Schizosaccharomyces pombe: one gene and its partners. Changing the gene in region 2 together with the main gene of any one other region gives a genetic interaction. Each region holds a gene or a part of one and is shown on either strand. Other genes may lie near its edges.

What was found. A genetic interaction does not mean that the proteins touch.
Region 1: of sid1 (region 2) and dnt1, a mutation in one rescues a mutant of the other (synthetic rescue), as found in Schizosaccharomyces pombe (one study listed by BioGRID).
Region 3: of sid1 (region 2) and pab1, a mutation in one rescues a mutant of the other (synthetic rescue), as found in Schizosaccharomyces pombe (one study listed by BioGRID).

The regions. Positions count from the first base shown.
Region 1 is NC_003423.3:3,714,445-3,719,164, reverse strand, and holds dnt1 (nucleolar protein Dnt1), read left to right. Parts: upstream 1-1,946; 5' UTR 1,947-2,113; coding exon 2,114-2,256; exon of another isoform or gene 2,257-2,308; coding exon 2,309-3,965; 3' UTR 3,966-4,220; downstream 4,221-4,720. Other genes in the region: MCM complex subunit Mcm7, read left to right, coding at 1-1,527. UniProt on the Schizosaccharomyces pombe protein: Negatively regulates the septation initiation network (SIN) pathway, independently of the cdc14 phosphatase clp1. May also have a role in silencing rDNA transcription. Required for maintaining the exclusive nucleolus localization of nuc1.
Region 2 is NC_003424.3:1,983,806-1,991,706, reverse strand, and holds sid1 (PAK-like GC kinase Sid1), read right to left. Parts: upstream 6,010-7,901; 5' UTR 5,951-6,009; coding exon 5,834-5,950; intron 5,778-5,833; coding exon 4,479-5,777; 3' UTR 4,345-4,478; coding exon of another isoform or gene 4,236-4,344; 3' UTR 4,199-4,235; coding exon of another isoform or gene 732-4,198; 3' UTR 473-731; downstream 1-472. Other genes in the region: inp53 (inositol polyphosphate phosphatase), read left to right, coding at 732-4,198, 4,236-4,344; putative mitotic spindle organizing protein Mzt1, read left to right, coding at 6,163-6,357; SPOM_SPAC9G1.08C (phospholipase), read left to right, coding at 6,414-7,139; SPOM_SPAC9G1.07 (Schizosaccharomyces specific protein), read right to left, coding at 7,269-7,454, 7,500-7,901. UniProt on the Schizosaccharomyces pombe protein: Has a role in the septation initiation network (SIN) required for cytokinesis.
Region 3 is NC_003424.3:507,022-511,586, forward strand, and holds pab1 (serine/threonine protein phosphatase PP2A regulatory subunit B-55 Pab1), read right to left. Parts: upstream 2,873-4,565; 5' UTR 2,671-2,872; coding exon 2,627-2,670; intron 2,583-2,626; coding exon 2,542-2,582; intron 2,465-2,541; coding exon 1,182-2,464; intron 1,160-1,181; exon of another isoform or gene 1,139-1,159; coding exon 1,115-1,138; 3' UTR 501-1,114; downstream 1-500. Other genes in the region: yip5 (Rab GTPase-binding protein), read left to right, coding at 1-271; cleavage and polyadenylation specificity factor complex subunit Yth1, read right to left, coding at 3,648-3,699, 3,759-4,049, 4,146-4,315. UniProt on the Schizosaccharomyces pombe protein: Phosphatase 2A affects a variety of biological processes in the cell such as transcription, cell cycle progression and cellular morphogenesis, and provides an initial identification of critical substrates for this phosphatase.

The sequences.
Region 1 (4,720 bases), on a different chromosome or scaffold from region 2:
TTTCAGGAAGTAAAAATACAAGAATTAACGAACCAAGTACCTATTGGCCATATCCCTAGATCATTAACCGTCCACTTATATGGTGCTATCACTCGCTCTGTAAATCCTGGCGATATCGTTGATATTTCTGGTATATTTTTGCCGACTCCGTATACTGGTTTTCGAGCAATGCGCGCCGGGCTCTTAACCGATACTTACTTAGAATGCCATTATGTTTCACAAATCATTAAAAATTACACAAATATTGAAAAAACTCCTCAATCGGAGGCTGCTATCGCTGAATTAAATCAAGGAGGCAATGTGTACGAAAAACTGGCCAAGTCCATTGCTCCCGAGATATATGGACATGAAGATGTTAAAAAAGCTTTACTTCTGTTGCTTGTCGGAGGTGTTACTAAAGAGTTAGGGGATGGAATGAGAATTCGTGGTGACATAAATATTTGTTTAACTGGTGATCCTGGTGTCGCAAAATCTCAATTATTAAAGTATATTTCGAAGGTTGCCCCGAGAGGAGTATACACCACAGGTCGTGGATCTTCAGGTGTTGGTTTAACTGCTGCTGTAATGCGTGATCCAGTGACGGATGAAATGGTTTTAGAGGGAGGTGCCTTAGTACTTGCTGACAACGGTATTTGCTGCATTGACGAATTTGATAAGATGGATGAAAGTGACCGTACAGCAATTCATGAAGTAATGGAACAGCAAACTATTTCAATTTCAAAGGCAGGAATCACTACGACTTTAAATGCTCGAACAAGTATTTTGGCCGCTGCGAACCCCTTATATGGACGATATAATCCGAAAGTGGCACCAATCCACAATATAAATCTTCCAGCTGCACTGCTTTCCCGGTTTGATATTTTATTTTTAATTTTAGATACTCCTTCTCGTGAAACAGACGAGCATTTGGCACAACACGTAACATATGTTCACATGCATAACGAACAACCTAAAATGGACTTTGAACCATTAGATCCAAACATGATTAGGCATTATATTTCTTCTGCTAGACAATATCGCCCAGTCGTACCAAAGGATGTATGCGACTATGTTACTGGTGCTTATGTTCAACTTCGACAAAACCAAAAGCGTGATGAAGCCAATGAGCGTCAATTCGCTCACACTACTCCACGTACACTTCTCGCTATTTTGCGAATGGGACAAGCATTAGCTCGTTTGCGTTTCAGTAATAGAGTGGAGATTGGCGATGTTGATGAAGCTTTGAGATTAATGTCTGTTTCAAAGTCATCACTATACGATGATTTGGATCCTAGTTCTCACGATACTACTATTACCTCGAAAATATATAAAATTATTCGAGACATGCTTAATAGCATACCAGATGTTGAAGGCAATGAACGCTCACTTACACTACGTGCTATTCGTGAACGCGTACTTGCTAAGGGTTTTACTGAAGATCATTTAATAAATACAATACAGGAATATACAGACCTTGGTGTTCTTTTAACTACAAACAATGGTCAAACAATAATGTTCCTCGATCCGGATTTACATATGGAGAATTAACAATTTACTAATAGATAACTCCTATCATTTAATTTTTCTGCCAATTAATTGCTTTAAGCTAATTTACAACCTATAGAAATTATTCTGAGACGTCAAACTACTTTTCTGTTGAATATTCTTTAATTCTGACTAATACATCTGTCGTTCTTTTAATCTATGATAGTTTATTTACTTGTATTCAAATGTTAATTCACGCAATTGAAAGGAAGATATATTAAGCCAATATGTTTCGTTAGATTTGGAAGGACCATAAAACCTTAAGATACGTGTCAATATGCTCGAGTCGTAGGAATGAGTAATGAGTTTTTATTTCTTGACATTTAGCATTATTTTACACCTTTAACTTGTTCATCACTGCTGTCCCACCCTTCCTGCTGTCATGCCGAGTAAATTGCGAATAGAACTTTACGCACTTCCTTAGAGCAACCAACTTTGGATACCCATTGGTGTCAAGAAATGGGCATTCCATTTTAAATAACTTACTTTGTTTTAACGTCTTTTTAATACTGATTAATTCCATTATAACTAGTTTGCCGGATCCACTTCTCCGTAAGAATCAAATAAAGAAATTTGCTGAATATTCGAAATGAGAACTACATTAAGGCTTCATATAATCAAAGATGGTGAACAAGATAATCAATTTATGATTCTGTTTGACCCATCTTCTTCAATTTCTTTATTAAAAGAAAAAGTGCAGGAAACTTACAAATCACTTTATCCTTTTGAATCGTAAGCATAGCAGCATGCTCCATCTTTCTACTATTAACGAAAATTATTATAGAAATATAAACATAAGAAATATAAAAAATGAAGAAAGCTACGACATTCCTAATGAGTACTTAGTCGGTGAAATCTTTCCCACTAATTCCAAGGTCATTGTCGAATCATTCTCTTCTCCGTTGAAGAAATTAGATGGGACTATGATAAACTTCAAAGAAAAAAATATTCAACATGATTTAGATGGCGTTGAAAATGATTTCGCTACTGTCCAAAGTGCATCTAATGGTGTTCATGCAATCAATGGGAAGCGTACGCATCCGGATGAGAGTGAAAACCCTCGAAAACTACCAAAAAAAAATTTTGTAGAGGCAATTGATGCGAACTCTCCTGGATTTGTATACAGACCAACTAGTATTCGCGATCGAGCATACTCAATTTCTTCAAATCATGATAATGAAAGTACATTAACCGAAGGGATTGCTTTAAAAGAAATTGAAAGTCCAGATAAAGATAGAAAGGCTGACGGTATAGTTAATTTATCAGTTACTCAGGAGGAAGATGATAATCACCAATCCTTCAATAGTTCCTTAACACCAAGTCAACCAACAACTTATAATCGAGCTAACTTTTTTTCAATTAACGATGCGTCTTCTGATTCATCGTCAGATGCTCCCTTGCGAACTTTATCATCGCCTTCCCGTCTTCGCATGAAAGATAATGATAGAAAATATTTAGTCGAACATTCTCCTGCCGCATTAATTAAAGAAAGTGAAACCATTGATGGAATTGATGATAAATCATTGCGTTCTTCTACTCGAGAAGTTTCTGTTGAAAGCCCAAATGAAGATTCAGTCAATGATGACAGTTCATCAGATGTATCCGATGAAAAAGAAACGGAGGCAAAGCATGAAATTAGAGCTCCTGCAATAATAGTTAGAGAAACTTCATCTCATCCATCCACTGCCGTTCCTTCCGAAAACGATACCACCGAATCGGAGAACGATACCCTTTCTGAATCCTCTACGACCTCTATATCTTCTTCCCCGTCCGAAAATTCAGATACTAGTGATGATTTAACGAAGGTTGATAGCCCGAATAAATCTCTGGTTAATGATAACGTTTCAGCTAAGCATGATAAAGAAAGTGAGAATGGTAAAAGCAAATTTCCCCCTCCTTCCCAGACCCTTGTTACTACATCGACGATATCTGCAGCGGGAAATGAACCTTCTGATGAGATTGGTTCTGAAAATGATTCAGATTCGGATTCAGACTCGGACTCCTCTGTTCCTTTAAGTCAACTACAGAAGAAATCACAACAACGAAATTCTGTATCTCACGAGATACAGAATAGAGGAACCAAAGGATCCCCGAAGGAACCTAAAGCTAAGCCTTCTACGGAAAGACCGGAGACTCATAGGACATTGTCTTACTCACGTCTTTCAGAATTGTCTAAAACGTTTTCTCCTGAAATTAGAGAACCTTCTCTTACGAAGAAGACCGCGGTCAGTATGCAGGAATCAAAAGAAGAAGGGCGTTCTGATGAATCTTCTGAAAGTGAAGAGTCAGGGAGTTCTTCAGATGAAAGCGACAATTCGGAGAAGGAAGATAGATCCAATCCTATTCCCGTTGAGAAAAGAGCAAGTACTGTACTAAATACAAAGAAAAAGAGGAAAGCCAAAAGAAACAGTGCTTTGGCTGGCTTGGCGGCCCTAGTGTAAATTTCTTGTTTTTGATTAACTCCCTTTACGCTCGTTTTTTTTTTTTTTTTCATCATAAGTCCAATAGCAAAAGAATTCTGTAATAGCGTTGTTGTGCTATCATATTGCGTATATAATAAATTTAGTTTTCTTGGCTTTCTGCATAATTTTGACTTATTAATAAAATTACATGTTAATTAGCTAGCAAAACTTGATTTAACTTTGATGCTGATAAAAAGATGTTGAAATTCTAAATGGAACGTTCTTTAATGTCCATTAAGTTGCTTCATTTCAAATCCTTTTTTGATGACTGATTGTAAAATTAAAACTGCTAGTTGTAGGAAACAGGAGACCAGACAATGACAGTAATTAGTATATTAGTAAAATTTTCCGGACTAAAATTCGTAAAAAAAAAGAACAAATTAGATTACAATATTCAAATATTTTCACGAGCTTTAGTATTTATATTATTATAGGCAGTACCTAAATTCACAAAAAATGCCATTATTTGTTGTATAGTAATTACTTTACCCTCGACATTACTCATAATGGTTCAATAGTGTTAACAAAAACTGATATTAGTAAAATCTTTCTATTCTTTAGTATGTTTATAACGAAGACCAGCTAAACATGAATTTCTTGATCCGGGCAAACTAACTGCGTATAGTTGATATTATGCAAAGTGAACGAACTTATTTATTTGTAGTAAAATAATAGCTCTATAAAAGTAAGATGATCGAAAAGAAACTTATCACACTCTTACTATAAAGTGCTTT
Region 2 (7,901 bases):
TATGGTCCTTCATTTCTAATACATAATGTCAAACGTCTATCTTGCCTCCCGTATAAATTACATTCTTTAGACAATCAATTAACTATATGATTTTATTTTATTTTTTCTATGCCTTTATACACTCTTTTATTGTGGTTTTATTCAACGTATAGTACATATGCTTTCATAAGTTGCTCAATTTTTATATAATTTTGATATCGAATAAATTTTCTGTATCTTATAAAATTTCTTGCATAAGTACTTAAAATTTCTCGTTTTGTGTCTTTCTGAAATAAAATTGTGCAATGTGTGTTTATAGTCAATGCTTAATAATATGTTACAAATATTTAGCTACATGACAATATGATCTTTCATTGCCTTGAGAATGGCTTTCAAAATTGTTTCTATAAATGTGAAGTAAACTATTTAGTTAAGCAATACAAATGCCTAAAAAATATTTGATAGTTTTTTGGAATTCCTAATTTGTATTATGCGAATTTCTACATCATCTTCCCTTTTGTTTTCTGTAAAAATGATTATTTGGAGTATTGTTGATGCGTGTGTTTGAGTGCACGAGGCTTTGTTTATTTCATAATAGGTCAGCCCACGCAGTGTCTTGGTTGTCTTTTTCCAACAATTAGCTGAAAAGCGCAAAAGGTCCAAACAGCACCTAATAGATTTTAGAAGTATTTAAAAAAGGTGATTTATTTAAAAAATTGATTTAAAGCATAAGATTGTCGTAATCATGGAACATGGCCTCTCGCCAAGGCTTCAGCAATGTGAATGAAGATGAACCCGAGTTGCCCCCTTCGGTTTTATCATTGAAATCAAAGTTCGAGTCATTGAGTACCGGTGACCTAACTAATTTGGACGAAAAAACTGCTAAAAGAAGAACTGTAAAAGGTTGTAAAAATGGCACTTCTGAGCCAAACGTTTTTAAAGCAAGACCTATTCCACCGCCGAGGCAAGTCTCATCGACTATAGGAAGTTCGACTGGACGAAAAGTTAGTGGTTCAATTCAAAGGCTAGCTTCTAATTTTAAAAATCCTTCAAACCCCCACGCTGATGTTTCAAAAATAGATCGTCTACCTAGTGATTCTTCTGAATCTCACGTAGCTACTCCATCTTCTCCTACTATATCTAATTCATTTGTTTCTGTTTCTCCATTACTTAAGCGACCTCAACAAAAAGGGCCTGAAATTTCTTTTCAATCATCTGTACAATCTACCAAAGGAAATGATCTAATGAAACACGATGATACCAATAATCATCAAATACCACCCCCTAAACCCAATTTTTCTTCGAAAGCAGGTTCTTCAAGCCCGATATCTGTATCTCCATTAAAAAATGTTAAGGCATATATTTCTCAGTCTCCAACTCACTCCGAAGCCTCTTCGGTTCTGTCTTCTGAAGAAGAAGAAGAAAACGTTATCAATTCTAGTAAAAGTGTGCCCTCCTTTGATTTGCATGATCCATTTAGCCAGACCTTTGGAAAGGAGTGTCCCATATCGACGGCGCCTCCTGTTTTGAACATTGGAGACAGGTCTTTGGAAACTCCTCCTCCAATTCCCTCTCCAAGACCTCCACAGCCAGTTGCTGTTGAGGCTATACAGCAATCGCGTGCGGTAATATCTCAACAATTACCGCTTCATGTATCTCCCCGAAAGCCCCCAAAACCACCGCTGCGTAAAGTTTCTACCCAGCGCTCTTCTTCCCCAATAGAGAATTTGGCTACTAAAAGTGACGCCAGTCTTGTTACTGGTTTACAGTCGTCTCCCTACACTCATATTGCTCCTGCATCAGAGATGTCTTTAATACCTGAGAAACCCAGATTACCTCCCCGTCCTAGTCACACTTTATCAGAACTGTCTAGTCCAGCTTTAACATCTGAAAACTTATCTTCTAAACCATCCCCTTTGTTTCCTCCACCACCACCGAGGGTGAAATCCTTAGCTACTAACAAACCTGTCTCTATGCCTGTTTCTACTGAGCAAAGTGATCCTTCTGTTGCTGCTAGTTCCTCTTCGTCATCGCAATTAGATGTTGTTTTAAAAGGAAGCATACCAGATACTTCTAGCGTTAGGAGGAACCCGCCCTGTTTTGTTAACGGTGTTGAATCAATTAACGTAGATTTTGAAGCTAGAATCTTTGATGTTAGTGGTGATCGCCTTGTTTTAGCTGGAAACGGAGGACTTCGTGTTTATGACACCGTTACTGGTCTTTGTCATTGGCATATGCCTCTAGGGGATACGAAGGTAACGTCCTTATCATTTAAATCATCCCCGGAGAATTACTCTGACGATGGCAGATTTGTTTGGTTTGGAACGAGAGATGGGATGTTATGGGAAGTCGATGTTCAAAATCATCATATCGTTACTAAGAAGTCTGTTTCCAATTGTCCTATTACTTACGTTATGGTCTATAAAAATGAAATGTGGACGTTGGACGATATGGGAAAACTGTATGTATGGCAGGAAGATGAAATTATGGGTTTAAGTATACAGTCTACTCCACATAGTATTCGCACCATTCCTCATGCCACTCATGCTATGGTTTTAGATAATCGGCTTTTATGGGTTGTTGTTGGGAAATCAATTTATGTATATGATCCTTCAACTTCAGAAAATGAGTCGGCAAGTGTTTTGGCGAAGCCCATGACTCCACCTGGTTTGATAGGTGATATCTCTTGTGGCACTACTATTTCAAACTTTACGGATTTGGTCTTCTATGGTCACGTTGATGGAAAAATATCCATCTTTTCGAAAACCCAATACCGTTTTTTGGAGCTAATTACTAGCAGTTCATTCTATAGAATTTGTTCACTAGTTGGTGTTGGAAATACACTTTGGGCAGCCTACACGACAGGCATGATTTACGTATTTGATGTTTCTGAGAGTCCTTGGCGCCTCTTAAAAAGTTGGCATGGTCATAAAGCAAGTCACAATGGAGCTACCACTATACTTGGTATTGATGTGAATAGCGTATGGAAAGCTAAAAGGCTCCAAGTTGTTAGTATGGCTTCTTCAGTTGTCAAGTTTTGGGATGGTTTAATGATGGGTGACTGGTTAGCTACCGAAATGCGAAGCCGCTTCCCAGAATATAGTAATTTTACTGACGTGTCTATACTTATTTGTTCCTGGAATGCCGGAGCTTCAAAGCCATCTGATCTAGATAGTGATACTATTGGAGCTAGTATGATTCCAATGATGATTCGAGACAATGGATACCCAGATATAGTTGTGTTTGGTTTTCAAGAGCTAGTTGATTTGGAGAATAAAAGACTCACAGCTAGAAGCATCCTTTCAAAGTCGAGCTCCAAAGGTGGTTCGTCTAACAGTGCTAATATTTCCAGTCAGTATCGTTTATGGCGTGAAAAATTAGAATCTGAAATGATGCGGGTAAGCTCAAACGATGATTATCAGGTTTTGGTATGTGAAAATTTGGTTGGTCTTTTCTCATGTGTTTTTGTAAAAAATAAGTTACAAAGCAAAATTCGGATGTTACAATCGACAACTGTAAAAACGGGACTAGGTGGTTTGCATGGTAACAAAGGTGCAATAGTCGTTCGCTTTCTGGTAGATGATACTTCATATTGCATAGTAAACTGTCATTTGGCTGCTGGTCAATCCAATAAAGCAGCCAGAAATAATGATTTGGCAACAATTTTAGACAATGCTTCTCTTTTTCCTGAAAATGATGAAACTGATCAATTGAATACATTCGTTGGTGGTGGCGATGGCTCTTTAATTATGGATCACGAAGTTTGTGTTTTGCATGGTGATTTAAATTATAGAATCAACACATTGAGACCTAAAGCTTTAGATTTAATTAAAAAAAACGACATAAAAACTTTGCTCCAAAGCGATCAGCTTCTTGTTGAGCGAAAAAGAAATGCCGGATTTCGTCTGAGAACATTTACTGAACCAGAAATCACGTTTGCCCCAACTTACAAGTACGACGTTCATAGTGAGCAGTACGACAGTAGTGAAAAAAAGCGTGTGCCTGCCTGGTGTGATCGTATCTGTTATCGTGGAAGTCCCGACTACATCTCTGCAGAAAACTATACCAGGTACGAACTGAAGGCATCAGATCACCGACCAGTATCTGCTTTAATACATTCCAAAGCGAAGATGGTAAATGCGCAATCTCAGGGGTCCACATGGGACGTGGTCAAACGAAAGTGGATTGAGTATGCTGATGAATTTAAGAGAAAGGCTAAGTATGTTTTTTTTTGGAGAATTTTGCTAACCAACCAGAATAACCTATGTCATGAATTATACTTCTGTGTCTTATCAAACGGCTGAACAATATTTGTCTGGAAATAACTGGAATGTACAAAATGCTTTAAAGCAAGTGTCAAGTTGATTTCGAATAGTTCTCGTTTGGATGTGTTTATATATATTATGTAGATTAAATTATAGTAGAATATGCCATTATAAGTTCATTTAAATACAAAATTGTGAATGCTGTAAACAGGTTGTTTACGAGTTTTTAGTAAGCTATCCATTTAGACTTCTTCTTTTCTCAGTTTCTTCAAGCCACCGTGAAAATAGTAGTTGTGATATGGGGCTCCGCTTTTGCTTTTTGTGATGCAGTCTGTTGTCTGGAGTAATTTGGTTAACAAATTTTGAGGACAGATTTTTATCTAAAGAAATGAAAGATGTATAAAAAGATTCTAAAGATGAGCGCTGCGTTGCTGACAATTTATCATTTAATAACATCGATCGTATGGTGGACTTAATATAATGTTTCATAGCAAAATCGGAAGTCAACGATTTATGATAAGAGCTACCTTTTTCAGACAATGACTTGGAAAAAGGATGCGGTGTCGCTTGATCACTCATTATAGTTTTCTCTAAATATTTTATTGATGAAGGCAATTCCTCTTTATTTTGTGAACTGATGATGGAATTTTTAGGAATGCTAGTATTCCCTAACACAGTTGAGTCAGATTTCTTTACAGTTTCAAATGTCCAATCCTCAATGTCAGCATTTCCTTCAGCAATTGGTTCTTCAAAGGGCTTTAAAGTATTATTTATGGTTTCTTCCAATACACTTTGATCCGAATCATCAAATAATTTATTCTCCTTCTGAACAAGCAAAGGAATAATGTCTTTCACAGTTCCTGCGCTTTTGATGAATGGGTGTTGAAGGAGTTCTTTAGCTGACCATCGCATATTAGGATTGAGATCTAAGCAGCAGGACACAAAATCACGGAATGTTGGACTGAAATGATCATCTAGCTTTGGAGGCTCGGATTGAGGAATTTCAAAGATGACACGCATTGGATGCATTGTAGCGCGGGGCGGAATTCCGTTAGCCATTTCAATAGCCGTAATTCCAAGAGACCAAATGTCAGCAGCTAAACCATAACTTGTTTGTTGTATTACTTCCGGTGCCATCCAAAATGGCGTTCCAACAAACGTGTGTCTACGCGAAGCAGCGTTCGAAAGTTGAGCGGCAACTCCAAAGTCAGCAAGCTTTACGTTTCCGGTAGAGGAAGATAGTAGTATATTGGCGGCTTTGATATCTCTGTGGATTTTGTTTTGTCCATGAAGATAATTTAGCCCATAAAGGACCTCTCGAAGAATGATTGAAATTACTTGTTCATTCAACCTTCCCATTTTCAAAAGTCCCGAAACTGATCCTCCATCCATATGCTCCATCAAAATCCATAATGTGTATCCGTCAACAAAACAACCGTAATACTGAATTACATTGGAACTGTTGCAATTCGATAACATAAATACCTCTTGTTCGATGTCGGTAATGTCGTCAATACCTGTTTCTAAATCAATCTGCAACTGTAAGTTTTTTGTGATACTAAAGAAGAGTAAAAATTAATTAGTCTTACCTGTTTAATAGCGATAATGTCGCCAGACACATTTTCACGTGCTTTCCAGACAACCCCAAATGAACCTGATCCTAATTTCCGTAGCAGAGTATAAGAATTAGCATTGAGAGGATACATTTCATCAATATTTTGACTGCTCAAATCTGAGGTTGAGCCTACTTTCGGTTTCGTTTTACAAGCACAAGCTAGATGCACCACGAAGTACTTTGTTTATTACTTAGAGGATTATAATGAGCTACTCCGAGACGCCTATTCCAGTAAACTTAACATTACCAACTTGTTACGAAGTATATATAATTAGACTAGTTTATTATAAAGTATCGAGTTTTATGTCTGAATCTACCAAAGAGACAATAGAAGTTTTATACGAAATAGGAACATTGCTTGGAACTGAACTTGATAAAACAACGCTTTCACTCTGCATCAGTCTTTGTGAAAACAACGTACACCCAGAAGCAATAGCTCAAATAATTCGGGAAATACGTATGGCTCAGGAACAAACTGTTGACACAGAACCAAGTTAATGGCAAGAAGTTTAATCTCAATAGTTGACCTCGGGGTTTAGTATTTCTTTTATCTAATGTCTTCTTTAAACAGTGTTCTACCTTCAAATGCATGCGCAGAGATTATTGAAGGGAAAGACAAGGTTCACAATGTAGTTATTTTAATGCATGGACTTGGAGATTCTCACAAGAGTTTTGCAAATATGGCAAAGAACGTTCCGTTGCCCAACACTAGTTATATTTCCTTACGTGGACCATATCGATTACCATTAGATTTTGAAAATCCTGGAGGCAATTGGATGTGGGGAGAGGATGTCCATTTTGATCAAAACGGGGAACTGCAATCTGAAGCCGATTTCTCTAAAAGTTTTACGATGATTTCAAATTTAATTGGCAATCTACTCTCTTACGGTATATTATCTTCTAGAATATTTTTTTTCGGGTTTGGTCAAGGAGCTATGGTTGCTTTATATAGTTGTTATAAATTGTCTACTAAATACCAGCTTGGAGGGATATTTTCCTTTGGAGGTACTCTACCGCTATCCATAACTTTGCCCAATCATCCATTTCATGTTCCAGTGTATTTGTTTGAAAAGCGATTGCATTGTTCATGCAGCGAATATGAAGAATCGCGATTACGTAAAACATTTAAACCATTTCACCTCACATGTTGGAATCGTGATGATAAAACTGACATGCCTTCATCCCCTAGAGAATGGTATACATTCGTTCAATCTATTAGTAAACATTTGTATATTCACAACACGTTGTTTGAAGATGCAATTCCTCTTACATCTTTTTAGAATTGATTTATTTAAGTTAACATTTGTTCACAATAAAGTTAATATTCATTTGGGCATAGATATAACAATAACTCCTCTAGCCATTATGTGATTAAAATTAGTACGTTTACCTTTTGATCATTAAGATTTTCAATCGACAAGATAACTAAGATCCGGAAGCTTATCAACAATTCTATTAATTAGTTGATTTTGGTCAACTGTTTTTATATTTCCACGCCCTGCTCTCTCATTATTAAGAAACGAAGTATTGATCGATTGAATAACAGCCGGAGTGTCTTTAGGAGCTGACAATGAAGTAGAAGGTGAACTAAAATTCTGAAAAATTAGAGTATTTGGCTCAACTTGAGACTCTTCACTTACATCATCAACGGAAGCAGAAGCTAAATTCGATGAGTTTTTCGAGGTATCTTGGGAACTGACCCATGAACCCCATTCAAAATTATCAGAGGTTGGATCCGGGGAAAGAGACGTTGATGAATTTTTTTTCTTCGTTTCTCTAATTTTTTCTTCAGAGTCAAGTTTAGCGATTGATGAATGTTCTTCGACTTCATCAACTTTTTTACGATCCAAACTTAGTGGTGATTTTGGAACAACTTCATCCTCTTTATTTATTGAAATTGTAGAACAACTGTTGCTTTCCCTCTCAATCAATTTGACTGGGGAAGAAAGGAAAGTATTTGCAGATAATTTGTGATCCTGTTTAACAGCAACTGTATTATTTAAAAGAGCCGTAGAAGAAGAATAATCCTTGGGAATTTCATT
Region 3 (4,565 bases), 1.5 Mb from region 2:
CTGTCTGTGTTTATATGGATATGCTAACATTGTTTGGCTTCCCGTTTCTTTAGCAACTCCTCCGTTTGGATTGCTATCTACTTTGGCCTCCCATATTGTCAAATATGTACTTACAGGGATTGGTTTGTTAATTTCCATTGTGTTTTTAACTAGAAATTTATATCCTATCTGTCAGCAAGCCGGATCAAATTTGTGCAAACTTTTATTGTTCGGAATTATCGTCTTTCACTGTTTGCTCGCTTTGTCTCTTCAACTCATATTCTTCAGTTAATATCCTAATTTGTGAGGAGTTTCTTTTATCAGTCGCATTGCTTCATTCGAAAATTATACTATTCCCCTTCTTTCATTCTTTAGAAAAGTCATTCAGCATTTAAGATCCTATTGAGTCTAAGTGTTGGTATACTCTATATGATTCAGTTTATACATATATTCGCTTTACATTTGATTTTCTACTCTTTTTACTATAGCTACTAATGTTCCCTCAATTTACTAGGTTTTTTTTTCAGGTGCAAAATACGTATAAATAATCATTTCTTATGCATTGATGAATCATGCCTTAGTAAAAATAATTGTAGCCTTTTTAGTGAACCAAAGACTTTATGACATTTAGTCATATTTTTGCAATCGATCTCCCGTCATTTATATAGAAAACTTAACACATTATTACTCGTTGTTCAACAAAAAAGAGCTGAAGGTAAATTAATGGTGAAGCTTAACCTGAAAAGTACTTTTACGATTTCAAATTCAGATTTTTTTCAACAAGAGAAAAAAACTTTGTGAGATATTGAAAAAACGTTGAAATTTACGATGCATCACCACAATTTCAAGATTAAAAAGGAACACGTAAAAAGAGAAAAAGAAAAATACTGTGGATAGCAAAGTACATATGTATCGATTCACGGCATACATGAAGGGAGATAAACAAAGCACCCTTTTATCATTAGTCCTAAAAACTTTATTTCTGTCATTAATGGTTAAAATGGTGTGTGTATATAAGAATACAATCTGAAAGAAGAAGGTAAGAAAACTCTTATTCCCGGAAGTTCAATAAAAAAGGAACTATGTTCAGTCTATCCGTAGATCATAAAAACAAACCAAACTCCACATAAGGACATTAGAGCTTAGAGAAAACAAAAAGCTATTGAAACATTAGTAAACAAAAAGTTGATAAGCAAACGTACATTATTAGTAGCGGCGATGGCAACTGAGTCTTCAAAGGGATGCCAACTGGCATGTAATATCTTCTTATTGTAATCCAGGTTATCAGGATCAAGGCCAACAGAAGCAGATCCCATCGCAGCTTGAGGTTGTGACCGCCAATCATTATTTTTCACAGCATTCAACTTTGGAACGTTATTTGCAGCAGATTTTCTGGCTCTAAATGCAGCCTTGTCGGCTTGCAAAACTATCTGTCCTCTATCGCCAGGCAAAGAACTATCTGTGGGGTAAATCCCAAAGTTGTTGCTATAACTTCCTGATAAAACGTGTTTGTCGTCACCAGAAAAGGTACACTCGAATTTATCAAAAATACAGTCATTTTCATAGAGATCGCATAACTTTGATCGCAAAACATCATGCAATGGAATAGTTTTAACGGGAGCTTTTTCCATGTTGACATCCCATATCTTAAGAGTTAAATAATCTCTTGAAAGAATATAGCGGCCATTTTGTGAGAACTTAACGTCTGAAATGCTAGAGATGATTTCAGAAAAGAAACTCTTGGAATCTTGATCTTCTTGATCCTCGAAAAGCTTACATGGATTATCGCAGAGCGCAGATTGACGCAAATCTAAGAGTTTGATATTTCCCTTGCTGCTACTATACATGAGATGATTGCAGTTTATCGGGTGAAACTCGGCACTAGTAATAACTTCCGTAAGTTCTTCCATATTTTCAGGTTTAATGTCAACTATGTTGAATGAATGATCGGAGATGGACAAGTTCCATAAGTTGATACGTAAATCATCAGCGGAAATGTAAGTTTCTGCATCAGAGTTAACGCTAATCGAATTAATATGATATGCGTGTGCATTAGCGTAAACACGTCGTGGATATGCAGCGATAATCATGTCATGATGGTTGAGTCGTGGGAGTCGAAGTTGCGAAGGTGTTGTCAAAGGTCCTTGCATAGGACTGTGGAAACTGTCCGACAAATTATTTTCGGCAACGACTTTCAAATTCTTTTCATATAGTTTCCACAATTTTATAGTTTTATCATTCGTTGAGAGTAAAAAATGCGCTCGATTAGTCCTCTTGCACCAGCGAATTTTATTGATCTTTTCTTCGATTTCTAAGGACTTGAGATAATCAAACTCGGGTTCATGACTTTGAAATTCAGTAAAAAACTTATACTCACAACCCTTTTTCGAATGATTTCGCTCAAAAAGAACGACTCTGCCACCTTTATCGCCGGTTGCTAGATAATCACCTGTGTGGTCGAATTCTACTGCTGAAATGATATCGGCTAAACTTGTTAGTCATTTATTCAGTGATTAAAGTAAAAGAGAACTCTTTTATGAGAGAACTACTCAAAACCAATACCTTCAGTGATGTCTTCCACATCACCCTTGTCACCAAAGCATCTAAAGAGTTAGTCATTAATTTTTTTCACACATCGTTTACATACTGGGCAAATTTCCACTGATCCAAAGAGTCTTCTATATCATCCATCTTCTACTCGTATTATATTAAGATTTCGTTCCCGTTGGTACACTTTGCCAATTTCAATTGTATACGAAGATCTTGATCTTCAAATTTCTAAGGGTATCTCTATACCGTCTTTGGATCTTTTTTCAAAAGTTTTGATACAAAGTTTCCCAGTTTTCACTGGCTTTTTTGGAGGGCTGCTGATTTTCCTAACTTGATGGTTCGTATCAAATGCTGCTACCCTAACGAATCTACACCACTCTTCGGCGAGTCAAAAGCTCAGTAAAATTTTTATCGGTAAATCAAGCCTTAAGCGACTTTAAGTTATTAATGGATTTTTGATAAATACAACACTATTTCATTACTTCAGTGTTCATCTTACGCTTTACTACACATAGGATTTTTTGCTCAACTTTACAAAGTCCAGTGTAAAACTTGTTGGCAATTTCCCATTAATGAAACCTTAATCATTTGTACGCTAAAGAAAGGTGTTTTTGATTATAAAAAACTAGAAGTTCATTGTCATATAAAAGATCCATATTGTTTTTATAGTTTGCAAAATTGAATACAGCAGATAAGTAAATTACAAAAAAATAAGAAACATAACTGGAAAGTAGCAAATATTTTACGAATAACGTATGAATGATTAAATGAATAAACCGTCCTTGATACATTACGATGGCGCTCTACGTAAGCGTTTTACATACTGGTAAACGATACTTAAGTTCCTAAATTTTCTTTTCCTTCTATGTTGCAAAAAACATATGTAAAAGGGAGACTTATTATTTAAAACTTATTTTTCGGTTTCTAAATACTTCTATTATCCCGATTATGTGTCGATTTGGTTCGCCGCAACCAAGACAAACCCAACGTCGATAATTAATTTTATTCCATAAAAAAAAATCTCAATAATCAATGTACGGCATCACTAATTGCATATACTCCATTGATAACTTGATTTCATTACCTAATATACAGTGACACATTAAAAAACGCATCCTTTACCAGTCTTTCCGCTTTTGAGGAGGATGCGGAGGTTCAGAGTGTTTAGGACTAGAACATGTTAGTAATAGAAAGAGAAAGTCAACACTATAATTCTTCAAAAAACTTACTGAGCATCTGGGCAATTAGGGCCTAGCGGACAAAACCCAGCTAAATATTTTGGGCAAGGCCTTGGTTTTCGTACATGTTTGCCTCGACATATAGGTCCTAAAGGACAAAATCCCATATTATACCAGGCACAGACACCAACTTGTTTACTGGGATCCAAATGGAGATATAAACACTCTTCGCCATTAGAACACCAGCCGCGCTCTGCATAAAAGTGACATGGAGGCATCTTTTTTAAATTGTACTCGTGTAAAAAATCACACTGTTCACCTTTTTTACAAAGTCCACGAAGCCTTATATAATATTAGTTATCATGAAGGTAGAAACAAAAACAAATAGAAAAATACATGAAATATATATTCATATTACTCTTCTTTATATATACATACCAATGCTTGCAAACCACGCTACCCATTTTCGATCCAGAATCGCGTCCATTTCCAGAGTTTAGCAAGGCAGACCTTCCGAAATTAAAATTTTGCTTTAAATAGTTATCAAAACGAAATTGAACTGAAGAAAAATCAGCTGCTATAGCTTTATCTTTGATATAATCAGTCATTTTGTAGTAACCAGTAGATGGCGGAGGCAACGTTGTTCAGTTGACTTGAATATCACAAATACTTTATTGACTGGCATTCACATACTATAAATGATGCTTATTAAACTAGAACGAATTAAATTATTCTTATAATATTCATGAAATCGCTATTGTTTTAAGGTTTTCTTCATAGGTATGTTTGAAACCTAAGTAAAGAATGATATTATGCAGCATACGAATAAAATAACTTTTATAAAACATATTCTTTTTA